Linked DNA regions of Tamandua tetradactyla. The protein of the gene in region 2 binds, or shares a complex with, the protein of the main gene of each other region. Links are inferred from orthologs where the notes say so. Each region holds a gene or a part of one and is shown on either strand. Other genes may lie near its edges.

The links.
Region 1: ING3 (region 2) and MORF4L2 share a complex: the UniProt entries of both Homo sapiens proteins name them as parts of the nuA4 histone acetyltransferase complex. The link is inferred for Tamandua tetradactyla from reciprocal best matches to the Homo sapiens genes ING3 and MORF4L2.

The regions. Positions count from the first base shown.
Region 1 is NC_135353.1:70,023,632-70,030,878, reverse strand, and holds the start of MORF4L2 (mortality factor 4-like protein 2), read left to right. Parts: upstream 1-4,235; 5' UTR 4,236-4,346; intron 4,347-5,274; exon of another isoform or gene 5,275-5,570; intron 5,571-5,759; exon of another isoform or gene 5,760-5,937; intron 5,938-7,247. UniProt on the Homo sapiens protein: Component of the NuA4 histone acetyltransferase complex which is involved in transcriptional activation of select genes principally by acetylation of nucleosomal histone H4 and H2A.
Region 2 is NC_135327.1:161,384,383-161,391,875, forward strand, and holds the start of ING3 (inhibitor of growth protein 3), read left to right. Parts: upstream 1-4,480; 5' UTR 4,481-4,630; coding exon 4,631-4,658; exon of another isoform or gene 4,659-4,704; intron 4,705-4,903; coding exon 4,904-4,975; intron 4,976-7,493. UniProt on the Homo sapiens protein: Component of the NuA4 histone acetyltransferase (HAT) complex which is involved in transcriptional activation of select genes principally by acetylation of nucleosomal histones H4 and H2A.

The sequences.
Region 1 (7,247 bases), on a different chromosome or scaffold from region 2:
CCTCCGAGGGGTCTGGTAGAGGGGGGCTGCAGGAGGGAAGAGATTCTCCTTCTAGGAGAACTTACCAAAATTTCTGAGAAAGAGACTTTTTCAATCTAAAATAATCTACCTCTCCAGATTTTCATGTGATATATCACTACCAGAGAAGTGTGTGTTCTACCCACCCTATGGTTAGGAAGGACTCCCCTAAAGAGAAACCTATATGTTCTCTTCCATAGAACAGATCAAGCCCTTTAAAAAAAATTTAATTTGGTAACCTTCAAAAATACTAAGCTACAAAAATACACAGAGGTAGAAAGAATGGTATAATGAGCTATCATGTTCCCATCATTAAGCTTCAACAATTTAGAGGCAGTACTTTAAGTAGCAGTAGTTTGTTCTCTTTTAATAATATGACAGCTGATCTTTTCAAAACACATACCTTTTATCATTCACAGTGGAATGGGGACTGTAGGTGAAAGTTATAAGCATAAACAAATGTATCACTGACAAAATGGTTCCAGGAATCCTCATGAGGCAATGCACATATTGTAGGAGTCAGCACTCACTGGTGGGAATTAGTTCTCATCTCTGCTAGTTATGCACAACATGGATGATTTCAAACAATTATTCCAAGTGAAGCCTGTGGTTCTCAAAACCACAAACTTAGGTTTTGTGACTCAGGAAGGGAAAACCAAGAGATTAATGTGTAAGTCTGGAATCCCAAGGCCACCCAAGAACAACAATGATTAGGTTCAAGTAGAGATCTTAGTGTTTTCTTCCATTTGAAGTAACCTCTTTTTGCCAAAAGAACGGGGGGGGGGATTTCATCTACAGGAGAGAGTAGCTAGAAGAGAATAAAACCCCTAAAATGATAAAGCTTTCCAATGTCTAACTTCATCTTCTGCTCTGGCTGTCAAAGGCTAATGAACTAGATGGATCCAGACTAATTTGCTGAATTGGTTTCATGAAATCTCTTTGGAATGAGGCAGGTATAAACAGATAAACAGAAAAATATCCTTATTAAAGATATAGCATTTTACTTAGCCTTGAATATTAGGTTTTCCTTTTAGCACATATGTTAAGCAAATATTCTTTTAAAAATCATTCCATAAATCAGACAAAACCAAATGAAAACAAAAATCAAATTACCCTTAGAATGGACCAATTTCCATTCCTACCCAGAAACCACAGGGTGTCCTTCCCAGCCCCTCAGAGCAGACAGACCACTACTTTTCAAATCTAGTAAGGATCTCTTAGCCACTAGACAAGACAAGCAATGCCAGCAGACACTGTTGGGTAGGTTGCACCTTGAACAAGGGTGCCCAACTGAGAGGGCAGAAGTGGGGGCTGAAATTCATGCTTTAACTACCCTGATGGAGGCTGTAACATCTCAGAGAGAGAGAGAAACATTTTTTTCTAATTATTCCACTGGAGTGGACACTTTTCTGAAATTTGTTCCCAGGTGGCACGTTTCTAATTAGCACAAAGGTACTGTATGAGCTAATGGAGACCTTGATGATAAACACAGGATTCTTGCAGTTTCTAGAAGCCCTGTGAAGGCTGAGACCATAATCTGTCTGGCCTTGGGCACTGGAGCCAAACAAACACTGATCAAAGCTATCTTTTCCCTTTCAGTTGCAACAGATAATAAAGACAGCAAATCAGGTATAAATTCAAAAGGAAGACTAACATTTTCTGGGGACCTGATAAGAGTCAGGAATCTGCTGAAGCTCTGCCCCACTAGTAAGTAAAGGAGGCAGGAGAGTATTCATATTTGAGAGGGTAGCATGACTTAATGGGACAAGCATGGGTCTTGGAGTTAGAAATCTGAATCCTCACTCTGCCATTTACTAGCTGAGCAACTTTGGGTAAGTATTTAAGTTCTCTGGGCTACAGTGAGGATTCATGAAGATAACAAAGATAAAGAGCTTGGCACTTTAGGAGGTATTCAGTTCCTGCTATCACCCTGACTCCAAAGTTCATTAACATTATTCCCACTCTTGGGCTTGCAACTTCAGTAAGCAGAGTAAAGCATAAGGATAGGTCTGCTAGACAGAATACTGGAATAGAGTCAGGAGATGTGAGTCTCAGTGTGAGACACATCCCTGACACAGTACCTTGGGTAAGTTACTCCTCTCTTCTGACCCACCAATAACACAGAACACCCCAAGCACTGACTCTGAGAGGAAAGAGCAGAGGAAATCATTTTTCTTGGGTACCTATCATGAGACATGTGCCATACTAGGCCTCTAACTCAACGCTGCCCAGTAGAATTTTCTGTGATGAGGGTAATATTCTGTATCTACACTAACACTATCACCAGTAGCTGGACATAAGTAGCTATAAAGCCCTTGAAATGCAGCTAATGCAATTAAGGAACTGAGTTTTAAATTTTATGTCTTTTAAATAGCCACCTGTGGCTAGTGGCTACCATAGTGGATAGTCGAGCTACAAGATTATATGCAGGAATATTTGTTCTCCTGTAACATATGGTGAAACTGAGGCTCAGAAAAATGAAAGAATTTGTTGAAGGTCACTTAAATATTAAGTAACAAAACCAGATTCAAAACCTGGGAGTAGAAAGTTTAGCGGAGTAGCAGGGTCACATATACCTGTGATTATCTGGATTTCACTATTTACAAATTGTATGACCATAAGAAAAATACTTACGGTCTCTAACTCACTTTCATCATCTGCAACACAGATCTAAACTAAAAAAAGCTAGCTACAGGGTAGGAAGAGTATTTTGAGAACTATAACAACAAGAAGAGAAACACTCAAACTTTTGTGTGATTTCCTATTGTAAAATGAAGAAGAGAGGGAGAGTTAAAATCATCAAAACATTTCCATTTACCTTGTTTGAGTTCCTGCCCTCTTCTTGACCCTCTAGTAAGCCAAAGCAGGAACAAGGTATCTGTAACACATTTCAAGGCCCAGAAAGCCAAGCTACAAACGGTCAAACAGAGTACTGTTAAGGGCTTGAGCTTGTGAGGCAGGTAGAATTCAAATTCTGGTTCCCATACTTGTCATGTGTACTTGGGAAAATAATTTGACATCTCTACACATTAGTTCCTAATCTGTAAAATGGTATTGATAGTATGCAGGGGGCCCTAACAATACATTGACATCACTTATTATTTTGCTTTATATTCCATACCACCCTCTAGTGGTACAAACAAAAATAAGCATTGCATTTCTGCCCTCTAAAGCAGTGGTTCTCAAACTTTAGTGTGCATCAGAACACAGCTTGTAATAGCACACACTGCCAAATCCCAATCCAATAATTTTTCATTCAGTAGGTTTGAGGCAGGGCCCATGAATCTGAATTTTAACAACTTCTCAGGAGATGCTGACACTGCTGGTCCAGAAAACACTTTGAGAACCAGTGTTTTAACCTTCCCCTTTTACATAAACAAATACACGTATATATGTGTATGTGGGTATATATACACACACACATATATATGTATGTTTATATGATTGATAGCTGAAGAGGTATGATTTTCTTGTTTGATTGTTTTTTGTAGCACCACCTAATAAGGATTTTATGAGGAATAAATGAGACTATCCATTTGAACATAGAATCTAAACCTTAGAAAGCATACAAAAAGTGAGGATCATGGAACATACATTGTTTGTCCAGTGTCACAGGGCTAATAAGTCATGAAATAGGTTTCAAAGCTAGATCTCTAATTCGAAAGACACAATACATTTTAGCAGCAGCACTACTAAAAATGGGGTACAAACACATAACACATAAATCTGAAAAATTTTTCAAGAGGAAAGGAAGATCAGTGTTCAATACCAAAGTCCAAGTTTTATCTCAGAGTTGTTATCTATCTTTACTGACTAAACAGCCATCTGTATTTTTCCTTTGGAGGGCGGGAGTTGTGAGAATGTGGGGGAAAAGGTGAAGAGAAAGGGATAGGTTGTTCATCAACACCAGTGCCTGAGGTCATTTATAAACTCTGACAAAAGAAGGAAAGGAATAAAAGAGAGGGATGGAGGGGGAAAAATTAAAAAGGGACGGTAAAAAAAGGAAACAAGGAAAAGCATGTGAATCTTGAGCCAATAAAGGTTGACTTAATTTTAATTGTTCCCTAGAAATGAAAACTATATACCATCACCATAGATTGACGAGTTCAACAAATCCCACCGAGGTTGCGGGTGGGGGGCATGGGGGTGGGGGCAGAGGAGGTGGAAATCCCATAATTCCAGGGCTCAAAACAGCCAATCCTTTGCTGGGATTTGGCGGCATCTAGTGGCAGCATCTAAATGTATAAACCTCATCCAGAGAACTTTCTGGAAAATTAACTGAACGTGAACTCGCCTGAACAGCACTGTTGTTGGAGATCGACAAAAAGGTAAGAGAACCTCAGCCCCCACAGAAATTCAGAGTCCATAGTGGAAGGGCAGGCTGTCGTATGTAGTTATTCCCCACAGAAAATTGTATTTGTGCCAACAGAATGGCACGTAACTTTCTGGGCGGGGCGGGAACAAGAGTAAAGGATACTGGATAAATGAAAGAAGCTGCCCCCTTAGAATTGCTAATTTGGGAATGGAAAGGTTTGGCGTTTTTTTTTTTTTCCTGGTAACGTATATACAACCTTAAATTTCCCCTTTCACAACATTCAAATAAATGATTTAGTGTTGCTAATCACATTCACCACGATCTGTTACCAAAACTTTGCCATCTCCCCAAACCGAAACTGTATACCAATGAAGGTTTGCCTTTTAACCATTGGAGGGCTATAGTTTAGAACAGGATTTTGATACTGAGAAAAACGTGTGAAGAAAGTGTATTAGAGTCTAAAATTGAATTGATGGGGCATACCGAAATACTGATATATATAACAAAGGCCCTTTTTTCTGTTTCGCTGCTTGACTTAATTGGTTATTTCCTTTTTCATTACAATAATTTTCAAACATATACCACAGTAGAGAATGACCACTATAATAATGGTATATAATAATGATACTATAATAATGCTTATATAATAAGCACCCACACGCCCATCTAATTCAACAGTATAAAAGAACAGCTCACCTATAAGAAACACACACACATCGCTTGTTTAGGGACAGACGCGCGTGCTCGCACACAAACGCGCGCGCACACTCGTCCAAAAACAGAAGCCGGCCCCAGTGCTTAGGGCGCACGCTTATCTGCCAGCGCCATGAGCGTCTGCGCACACACACAGCCCAACGCAAGGCCACGCGAGTTAGTCCGCGTACACCCACCGACCCCAACGTCACGCGCCCGCGACACCCACCATCCTCACTCACACGCACATAAAAAAACTCCAGCGGCCTTTTTTTTCTTTTTGCTCAGATCGTTGCGCAAGAGGTTCGGGGGCGTGGCCCCAAACTGGACCAACTGCTTCCCCACCTGCAGGAACCTTAGCTCATTTCCGCCCATCCGTTTCCGCAGGCCACGTAGACACTTCCTTTCCCAGTGGGGGGTGGGAGGAACCCATAATCCTTCCCTGCAGGAAAAAAAAAAAGCAACCTTCTGATCGGGGGAACTCTGGGTTGTGAAAATAGGCCACGTGAACATCCTGTCCTATAGACTTATGACCCAACGGCTGTCGCCTTTTTGGAAGGTGGGCTAAGAACCTAAGAGGGCGGGCATGATTGGCTGCAGCGCGCACTAAACGAGAAAGATGATTGGTTTCCTTCAGACCTTAACCGTGAAGAAGCGGTTGCTAGCACCCCCCTTTACTGCGGCGAAGTGTCATTGCTGACGTGGTGGTCTTCGTCCAATCGTTTGGTTATAGAACATTCTAAAACTTAGAAAAGACGAATTTGATTGGCTGAAGGATGTAAGCCCGCCTCCAGGGTGACGTGTCTGCCTATGGATATCAGTTGCCAGAGAAACCTGGCTTTAGTATGGCGGTTGGAGGAACGGCGGTGATCACACGTCGGCTGCTGGGAAGAGCTGGATTCGCGTTTCAGGTTTCGGGGTGGGGGTGGGGAAGAAGGGTCGATTATTTCCCTTTATTTTCATGTATATAGATAGGATTACCTAATGGCTTTACAATCATATAGCGTTGGGTTTAAATCCCTACTCGCCAACGCCCAGCTTGGGCAAAGATCATGTTCTTTCTGTGTCTAGGTTTCCATGTTTGTAAAATGGTGATAATAATCGTATCTACCTCGGAGATGTGTATTGAGGGTTAAATATAATAGTACATATAAGGCACTTAATACGAAGCCTGGCTCCTAAGGATATTAGCCATTATTATGGAGATTAAATTCCCACGTAATAGAATGAGAAAATAGAGCATAAATTATGCAGATTTGCTTATTATACTGCCTTACCTGCCCATCAACTTCTTCTGATGAATTAGTAGATCATAAGAAACATATCATCTCTACCATTAAAATAATATGCTACCTGAGATCTGCTTTACAATAGTGGAGGTGGAGATTTTCCATATTGAAAAGTTAAAAAGAGACGGAGAACGAAAGCTGGAAATCAACCACATGCAATGAGTAGACCTTGTTTGAATCCTGATTCGAACACCCCAACTGTAATAGATACATAGGGAGAAATTGAACACGGATCCAATATTTGATGGCTTTTTTAAGAAATTGATAGCGATATTTTAGGCGTTGTAATGGGAATGTGGTTATGTTTTTTAAATTATTTATATCTATACAGATATATACTAAAATAGTTGTAGATTAAATAATATGCCTTTATGTTGATGACTAGGATTTGCTTCAACATAATCTAAGCAGAAGGAAGTGGGCAGGGGTATAGATGAAACAGATTTGCCCTGAATTAATAGTTTAAGCTGAGTGATGAGCCTTTGGGATTCTTTATATTATTCTACTTTGGTATGTTTTTGGAATTTTCCATAATATAAAAAAGTCAACTATTCCGTGAGCTTAGGAAAAAATGGGGGGAGGCTGGTGGGTGGGGTTATAGATGAAACAAGATGGCCTTCAGCTGGTAATTGTTGAAGCTGGATGATGGATTCATGTGGGTTTATAGTACTGGTCCCTCTAAATTTGTATCCATTTGAAATTTTCCTTAATAGAAGACTTTTAAAAATTACTATATCAAACAACTAGAGCAAAGATGCTCAATAAAGTAAATTTGAAAATGTAACCACAAGGAAGCAAAAAGAAACACTGATACATTATTTATCATCTTTGGTGTCCTTTGTGTGAGATAAAATTCATTGGTTGATGGAGAAGAACTCCATCATCTCATATCTTTTTGTTTTGTATCCTTTCCTGTCCCCTTGTTTGATCTT
Region 2 (7,493 bases):
GAAAGAGAGAAGCTACAATGTGCAGCCAGAAGCTGGAAGTTAATGAAACCCAAAAGAGAAAGAAGATGTTGACATGCATACTACCATGTGACAGAAAAGAATTGCCAGCAACCAGCCATAGAATGTCACAGTCTGGGGGAGAAAACTAGCCTCAAATCCATGAGCCAATAAATTCCCTCTGTTTAAGCCAATCCATTGTATGGTATTTGTTTTAGCAGACAGAAGAGTAATACACTCCTAACTCTCCTTCATTAGTCACTTATCTTCTTTCTCTTTCTCCTCATTTTCCAGGTTCTCCATCAAAAACACCCACAAATCAGGTCAGGAAAACAGAATCTTCCTTTAGGGGAGGAATTGCATTGCCAAGTCTTTTTAGTTGGCCATTGGAAGGAGAAGTCTTGGAAACATCTGTAGTCACTTACTGAAGGCTATTATCCAACCTTGTTGCTTACAATTGATCTAGTGAGTGGCAACGGCTTTTACTAAAACAACACTTTATTCTGCTTCCTTTCAAAAGTACAGATGTCTGTCAGGGAGGACACACTGTCTGGTGCAAAGGTAAGAAAACATTTCATTTCAAAGCTTTACTAGGAAGATTTCAAGATGGTGGCTTTTTTTGTAAAATCAGGAAGTAGCAGAGCCTCAAGTTATTAAGTCTGGGTCCCTCTGAGGGAATCCTATATGAAGAATCATGTTTCTGTTTCTCTAGGACAGTCATATTTTGCATCCAGTCTTGAATCTTTTCTCCATGTTCTAATTTTTTCTAATTAGCTATAATCATCAGTGTAATTTGTTACTCTTAAAACCTTCTCTGCATCACTTTTCCCTTGAATTTAGTATGGCCGCAGCAGAATCATAGCAAGAGGTTTGTTTGACAAGCCTGAAGTTCTAAATGTTGTCCAGCCTCAAAATATGCTGAGGCACAAAAGAGCTGCTGCAATATGTGTAAACATAGGAGGGGACCTCATAATATTAATAAAGATAATGATAGCAACTGGCATTCGTTGAATTATAATATGCACCCTGCATTAAACTAAGTACTTTGCATAGATTATATCGTTTCAAACTTACACTCCTAAGATTTAGCTACCATTGCTATTTCCATTACCCAGTTGAGAAACGATGGCATGGAGAGTTAAAATAACCTTTTCAAGATCAACAACCAGTGTTAGAATAGGGAAGTGAACTCGTGCAGTTTAACACTGCCTGTATTCAAACCCTGCAACTATCCTGCCTGTTTCTCAAATATGCTTAAAAATTGGTCAACCATAAAGTTGGGGGAGAAAAGACAGCTGCTGAGTCACAGCATAAAAATAATTTTTAAAAACCCACAGTTCTGGAGTTCATAATGTATAATGAAAATAGGCTAAATGATTAATGACTAAAATTCCATAATTTTTTTTTTTACTATGACATGCAGATCTGTAGTTAACATTCTTTTCATTGCTAGTAACAAACTCCAAACTCTAAAGAAGTGGGTGAAAATTCAGGGAAAAAACACAAGAGCAGCTCTGGGGATCTCAGCAGAAGGACCATGTATCTACGGCGCTGCAATTAGTGCGTTTCTGCCACAATGTCTCTGCGCCTCTTCAGCCCCAATTTCAAACCCCAGAAGGGTGTATCTCCTAGGCTCAGCTTTAGCCTATCCCAGGTAAACTAATAAGATATAATATGGTCACTGGTAACCATTCCTGTGTATGTGGTACTTCCTAGAAACATAGTAAAGGCTGTAAGTTGGTAACCACTCCAAGTATTATATACTATATTATCTAATGATATAAGAAGCTACCACAATTTTCTGCTGCTGACAAATGTTCCTATTTCAAGAATTAAGTTCATTAACTAAAATATATAGAGTGTAAATTTTACTATTTTTGGTTTCTCTGGTGTGTGCAGGTATGCTGACCGAATTGAGAAGTTAGAATTGAAAATTCAGAAGACTGACTTCAAATAACTGAAATTTATTATTTCATTTTCAATATGGAAAACTCCCTGAAGAATTAGTTTTTCACGGAAATGAGTCTTCTATTTCTGAGAGCATGCCATTTTAGCTACTCTGAACGAACCCCACCCTCCTGCTGAAAACAACTAACAATGTTAGGTTTAAAAAAAAAAATCAAACATACTGATGAACTGGTAGGAAATGAAAGCAATCTCAGAGGGGATCTAAAGGGGGAAAAAAGAGAAAGGAAAATGAGAATATGCTGAGAGAAAAGTGAGGGCCAAAGCAGTCTTATGCTCAGAGAGTATCTGTCAAATTGTGGACACCTAGGGCTCCTGCTTTGATAGCTGTGCAGCATGTGTGGTCAAGAGATAAAGCCAAAGTCCTGTACAAACGGTGAACTCTAATGGGAGACAAAATCTGGGGCTCTAAAGGCCTACACTCCCAGTGTAAGTGTGAGTGAGAAATAAATCTGATGCTTAGAAGCAGTCACTAAGGAAACATGCCTATCCTGACTCTGGGACTCAGTAAAGGAAGAGAAGTATTCCCTGAGAATCTGTAACATGTCAAATCCACATTCAATCTATCTGTGCAATAGAATATACATCAAGTACTGAGTTTTATCTGGCCCTAGGGTTGATAGCGCCTTCAAAAAAAAATGTACAGAAATTCTAATATTTTCTAGGAAAACCTATCTTTGACTCTGCCCTCAAGGAATCATTATTTTTACAACCCAAGAAACATGAGTTTAGACTTCAAATTAAGAACTGATAAAAAAAAAAAAGTTACCATAAGCAAAAGCCAGAAGAAACGATAACACAAGAAGACCCATAATATTTTCAGCACTGAATTTAAAAGACACAGAACATAGACTAATTATTTTTAATCTGTATAAGGAAAGAAGAAAATAGATTGATAAGAGAATCAAATAGAATTTCTCACATGGAAAAGTAGGTGAAAGTTTTGAGATGGAGTATTTGAAAGAAAGGTTAGGAGAAAGGGAGGATACTAAAAAAGTCTTATAGATATATAATTGAAGTTCTAGGAGATAATGGAGAACACGGGAGATAAACAACATTAAGGCGATAGCAGCTGAGAACTTTCTAGACTTGTTGCAGGACAACAATCTTAAGATTCAGGAATCCCTTCAAATCTCAAGCATGATTAACAAATAAAACTAAAAATGTAAGAAAGAAAGGGAGGGAGGGAAGAAAGATGGGAAGGAGAGAGGGAAGAAAGGAATATAGAAAGAAAGGATGGATGGGAGGGAGGGAGGAATAAAGGGAAAGAAGAAGAAAAGAAAAAAATCCGAACCAAGGGTAATCATTATCAAACTGCAAAAATATTAAAGACATACAGAAGGTCTTAAAAACAGTCAGAAAAAAAAAAAAGAAAACTGAAGATACCAAATTTTAATACAAGTAGAGATGACAGATAATTCTTATTAGGATTTAGGTAAAGTTCCTTTAAGATTCAGCACTACCATAGAGAAGTATCCTGATCAAAAGATGTGATAAATTTTGAGTACAATAGTACAATGTACACACACACAGAGAGACTTTTAACTCCAATCTGAAAAAAATAAAATAGAACATTAGATTATGAACTAAAGATAATTTCCCGACAGAGTTAAAGAAATAGGTAGAAAACAATAATACCTAACATTTGAGTGCTAGAATTTTTAAAAAGAGGAAGAAAATGAGCAATGAATAACTGAATATTATCACTTATGAACATTTGGGGAAAGGAGTCAAAGGGTAGAAAAAGGCAACGCCCAGGACAACAAATGTCCAATATAATCACAATCTAAAGTGATTGTTACCACAGTCCATTAGATAGTAAGGCTCCAGCAGTTATTTCTGACTGCTTTTATGCTGTTAGGTGTGGCTGCAGGTAAATGTACAGATGATCAATTACGTCAGAACGAGGACGAAACAACCCGCAAAACAGAATATTTAATTATAAGAGGCTTCTGGGTACTTGTGTATCTTTTAGCCAGGAAATGCATATTCCATTCCATATTCTCATAGAATAGACATAGAAGCCACCCAGGTGTCCTATTTATATTTCTAGAAGTTAACACTACGATTTAATTCCAGCAGAGTTCTGTTTTAAACAATCGAAATTGCTCGCACTTTTCTGGTTATTCTAGGATTAGAACCTCCGCTATTGGCCTTAACACTACTTGAAATTCATGACTCATAAACGCCGGGACATGAAATCATAGCAGTAACGAACAGGTGAAAAGTTATCCCTAGTTATGTTGTGCAGGAGCATACAACTCCCGTCATTCCCAGCGCAAAAATCAACAAATAAACAGAAGAACCGCATTTCAGATTCTGTTGCGCACAGTGCGCAATGGCGCCTGGTTTTTGTAGTTTCCACCTGTAGAATTGCCCGCGTGTCAATTATTCCTCCGAAGGGAAAAAAACTATACTTCCCACAAAGGCATGGGGGCGGGTACCGGTCGGATAACGTCATTGCTTGAACCAACCAATGACAGCTCCGGGCGGCAGTGAGGCCAGCGCCGTCAGGCGCCAAAGTGTGTTTTTTTTTTTTTTTTTTTTCCTGGAGCCGAGCGGGTGCTGCTAGCGGAGGCGCCATATTGAAAGGGACAAAACTCCGGCGACAACGAGTGACACAAATAAACCCTTGGACCCACTCGTTTCCCCAGCTCTAAGGGCCGCGATGTTGTACCTAGAGGACTATCTGGAGAGTGAGTGCGCGGCGCTGGCGGGGCTGCCTGTGGGAGCTGCGGGCGGGTGAGAGCGCGAGTGGACGGGCAGGCGGGATGGCGGGAGGGAGGGGGAGGCGGGGGATGTTTCTTTCTCACGGTAACTGGCAGCCTCGCAGTGGGCTGCCGGCTCCCTCGACCCCCCCCGACGCACGCACGCACGCACTGACGTAAGCGCGTGTTTCCTCGTTGGCCCCGCCCCTCTGACGGACTCTTCTCTTTGACAGTGATTGAGCAGCTTCCAATGGACCTGCGGGACCGCTTCACGGAGATGCGCGAGATGGACCTGCAGGTGCAGAGTAAGTCGTGGTGTTTGCTCTTGTTGGTTACACGCGTTCAGTGCCGGACATGCCTGCTGTCGCCGCTAGTGGCTCCTGATATTTGACCGTCCTACGCCTCACTCTGGTAGTGCATAAGGAGTTATCAAAAATAAAGGACAATGAGAAATCTTACCGTTCCATCCCACGCACCTTTTCCGTAGCTTTTACAAGAGGGTGCATGAGGGAAGGTGTATATGCCTTTTTCGAATTTGGGACTATGCAAAAAAAGTTCCTAAACCTTCATTTCTTTGAGACTGTAAATATATATTTTAATGGAATTTACATCAGCATACATATTTAGAAGATTTTAACTTGAGCTTTTCTATTGTGGAACTTAGATTTCAACATCTGTATTTCTGTTAGACTTAATTCGATTTAAAATTATCGAGTGGAAAGCACAAAGGACATGTAGTATGTAGGTCTTTAGAAACCCTGGTGAACTGGAAATGCCAAATTTGGAAGTATTACGAATTATGAGATACATTTTCTATTGTCAACAGCCTCATATTGACTGAGGAAATAAGAATTTATTGTAAAGCATCGTGTCTGCTTTAATAACATTTTGGTAGTTGGCGGGTTTTTGCTTGTGACCCAAAGACATTTTCAGTGATAGCTAGGGAGTTGGGTGACTTTTTTCCAAAATTACCTTACTGTTTCAAGAGCAGAGGTTATAGTTAGGAGACTCAGGGACTAGAGAGTTTGAAAAGGGACTTCAGGGTGTTCTGGAATACACTGCAATTTTTAAGTTGTATTTTATTTATATGGGAAGTTTCTTGAAAGGGTCCATGATTCGAAAAAGGTAGCTAAGAAGATAAATACTCAGCACAGAATTATATTTCAAAACAAGAACATAGTGCTGGGTATCACATTTATGTCCATCATGCTCTGAAAGAACCTCACAAACCTTTCATAATTGGAAGATAAATATGTGATAACTGTTTCAGTTATCTCCTAGAGATACTATGTTAACATTAATTAATTAAAAATGTGAAAATTATATAATGCATAATTAAAATGTGTGATCAATAGAACCTTGTTGGCTATATGTCACTTCCTTTGTTTGGAGAAGTGTTTAATTAAGGAGTACCTTAATTAAATCATTTAAATAATATTTATAGCTGGTCATCATGTAAAATGGGCCCAGAAGTTATGTTTGTTGATCTTCAGGTTGTACAAAAAATGTTTCTGGTGCTGCCATGTTTTCTTCTTGTAAAAGTAGGGGTGGAGAAAGACTTGAACTTTGAGGTAGAGACAAAAGTAGTATCATGTAAAGAAATCAGAGCACCAGCCATCCAAGAGTGTGGGGTCTTGGGTAGCTAAGAAGATTCATTACCCGCCCCCCCACACACACACCCCACTTTTCTGCCCTATCACCACACATACGCACTTCCATACCCACTGTTTCACTGTTTGTGAATATAATTTCTCAGCCTCATTAGTTTAATTAAGGACATCTTAGAAAACCAACAGGGGAGGAAAGCCACGTTCTCTTTTTATTCAGTGGATTGTACTGTGAAAGTGTGAATTGCATGTTAGTTTTCCAGTTTACTCACAAAATTCATTTCATCTTTAATATAGTTGAAGTACCAAGGATTTGTTATTGTTTTCTTTAGGATTCAGCACACATTTTGACTTCATACAGTTCTGAGTTAATTTCAAGGCTTCATAAACTTCCTCACTGACCTTGACCATTATTACCATTTCTGAGGGTTTTTCATCATCTGTAAAATAGGAGTGACCTGAAGATTAAAAATATTTAAAATAAATTGCAAAGTATAGTATCTGATAAGAGATAGACAAAAGGGTAGCCATCATTTTATAATTTTTGGTTCTTACAAATTTAAAATTCTCTTATAATTTGGACTTAGTATTATTCAAATTATAGTTCTTTTAAACTTGTATTTTTTACAATAGAGTTTTCTGAAGTTACAGTTGTTATGAATTAACAAAAGAGGCACTTGAGTTGAATAAATTTAGAAAATGCTTATTTAAACAAAGGGAAATTAAAAAAAAAAATTGTAGGACCTCAGGATGTTTAAAAAGCTGTTATGCACTGAAAATCTCCAAAAAGTATATAATAAAAAGGATATATTCAACTTACATGAGCCTGACTCCCTTTTATTTATTTATTTTTCCTTTTTTAACAAATGTCGAATGAGATTATTACTGGGGCACATTTTGAGAAAAGCAGGTGTAGAATAAATCATATAGTGCAGTAAGTGGATAAATGATTGTGTCTACTACTTTAAATTCTGATAAAAGATGATAAGATGCTTATGGCGTATAACAGGAGGTTAAGATTTTTAAAATCACTTTTTCTTATTAAAAAGCATGATTATCCAGTAGTACTTTCAATAAGTGATTGTGTTTGAGCATATATGACCAATTTGTTAGCATTATCTTTTGACCCCAAAGCTGTACAATTCAAAAACTCTATAGACCCCACTTGTGTTGTTGACACTACTTGGACTAATGGAAAAGGTTTTGAAATGACAAT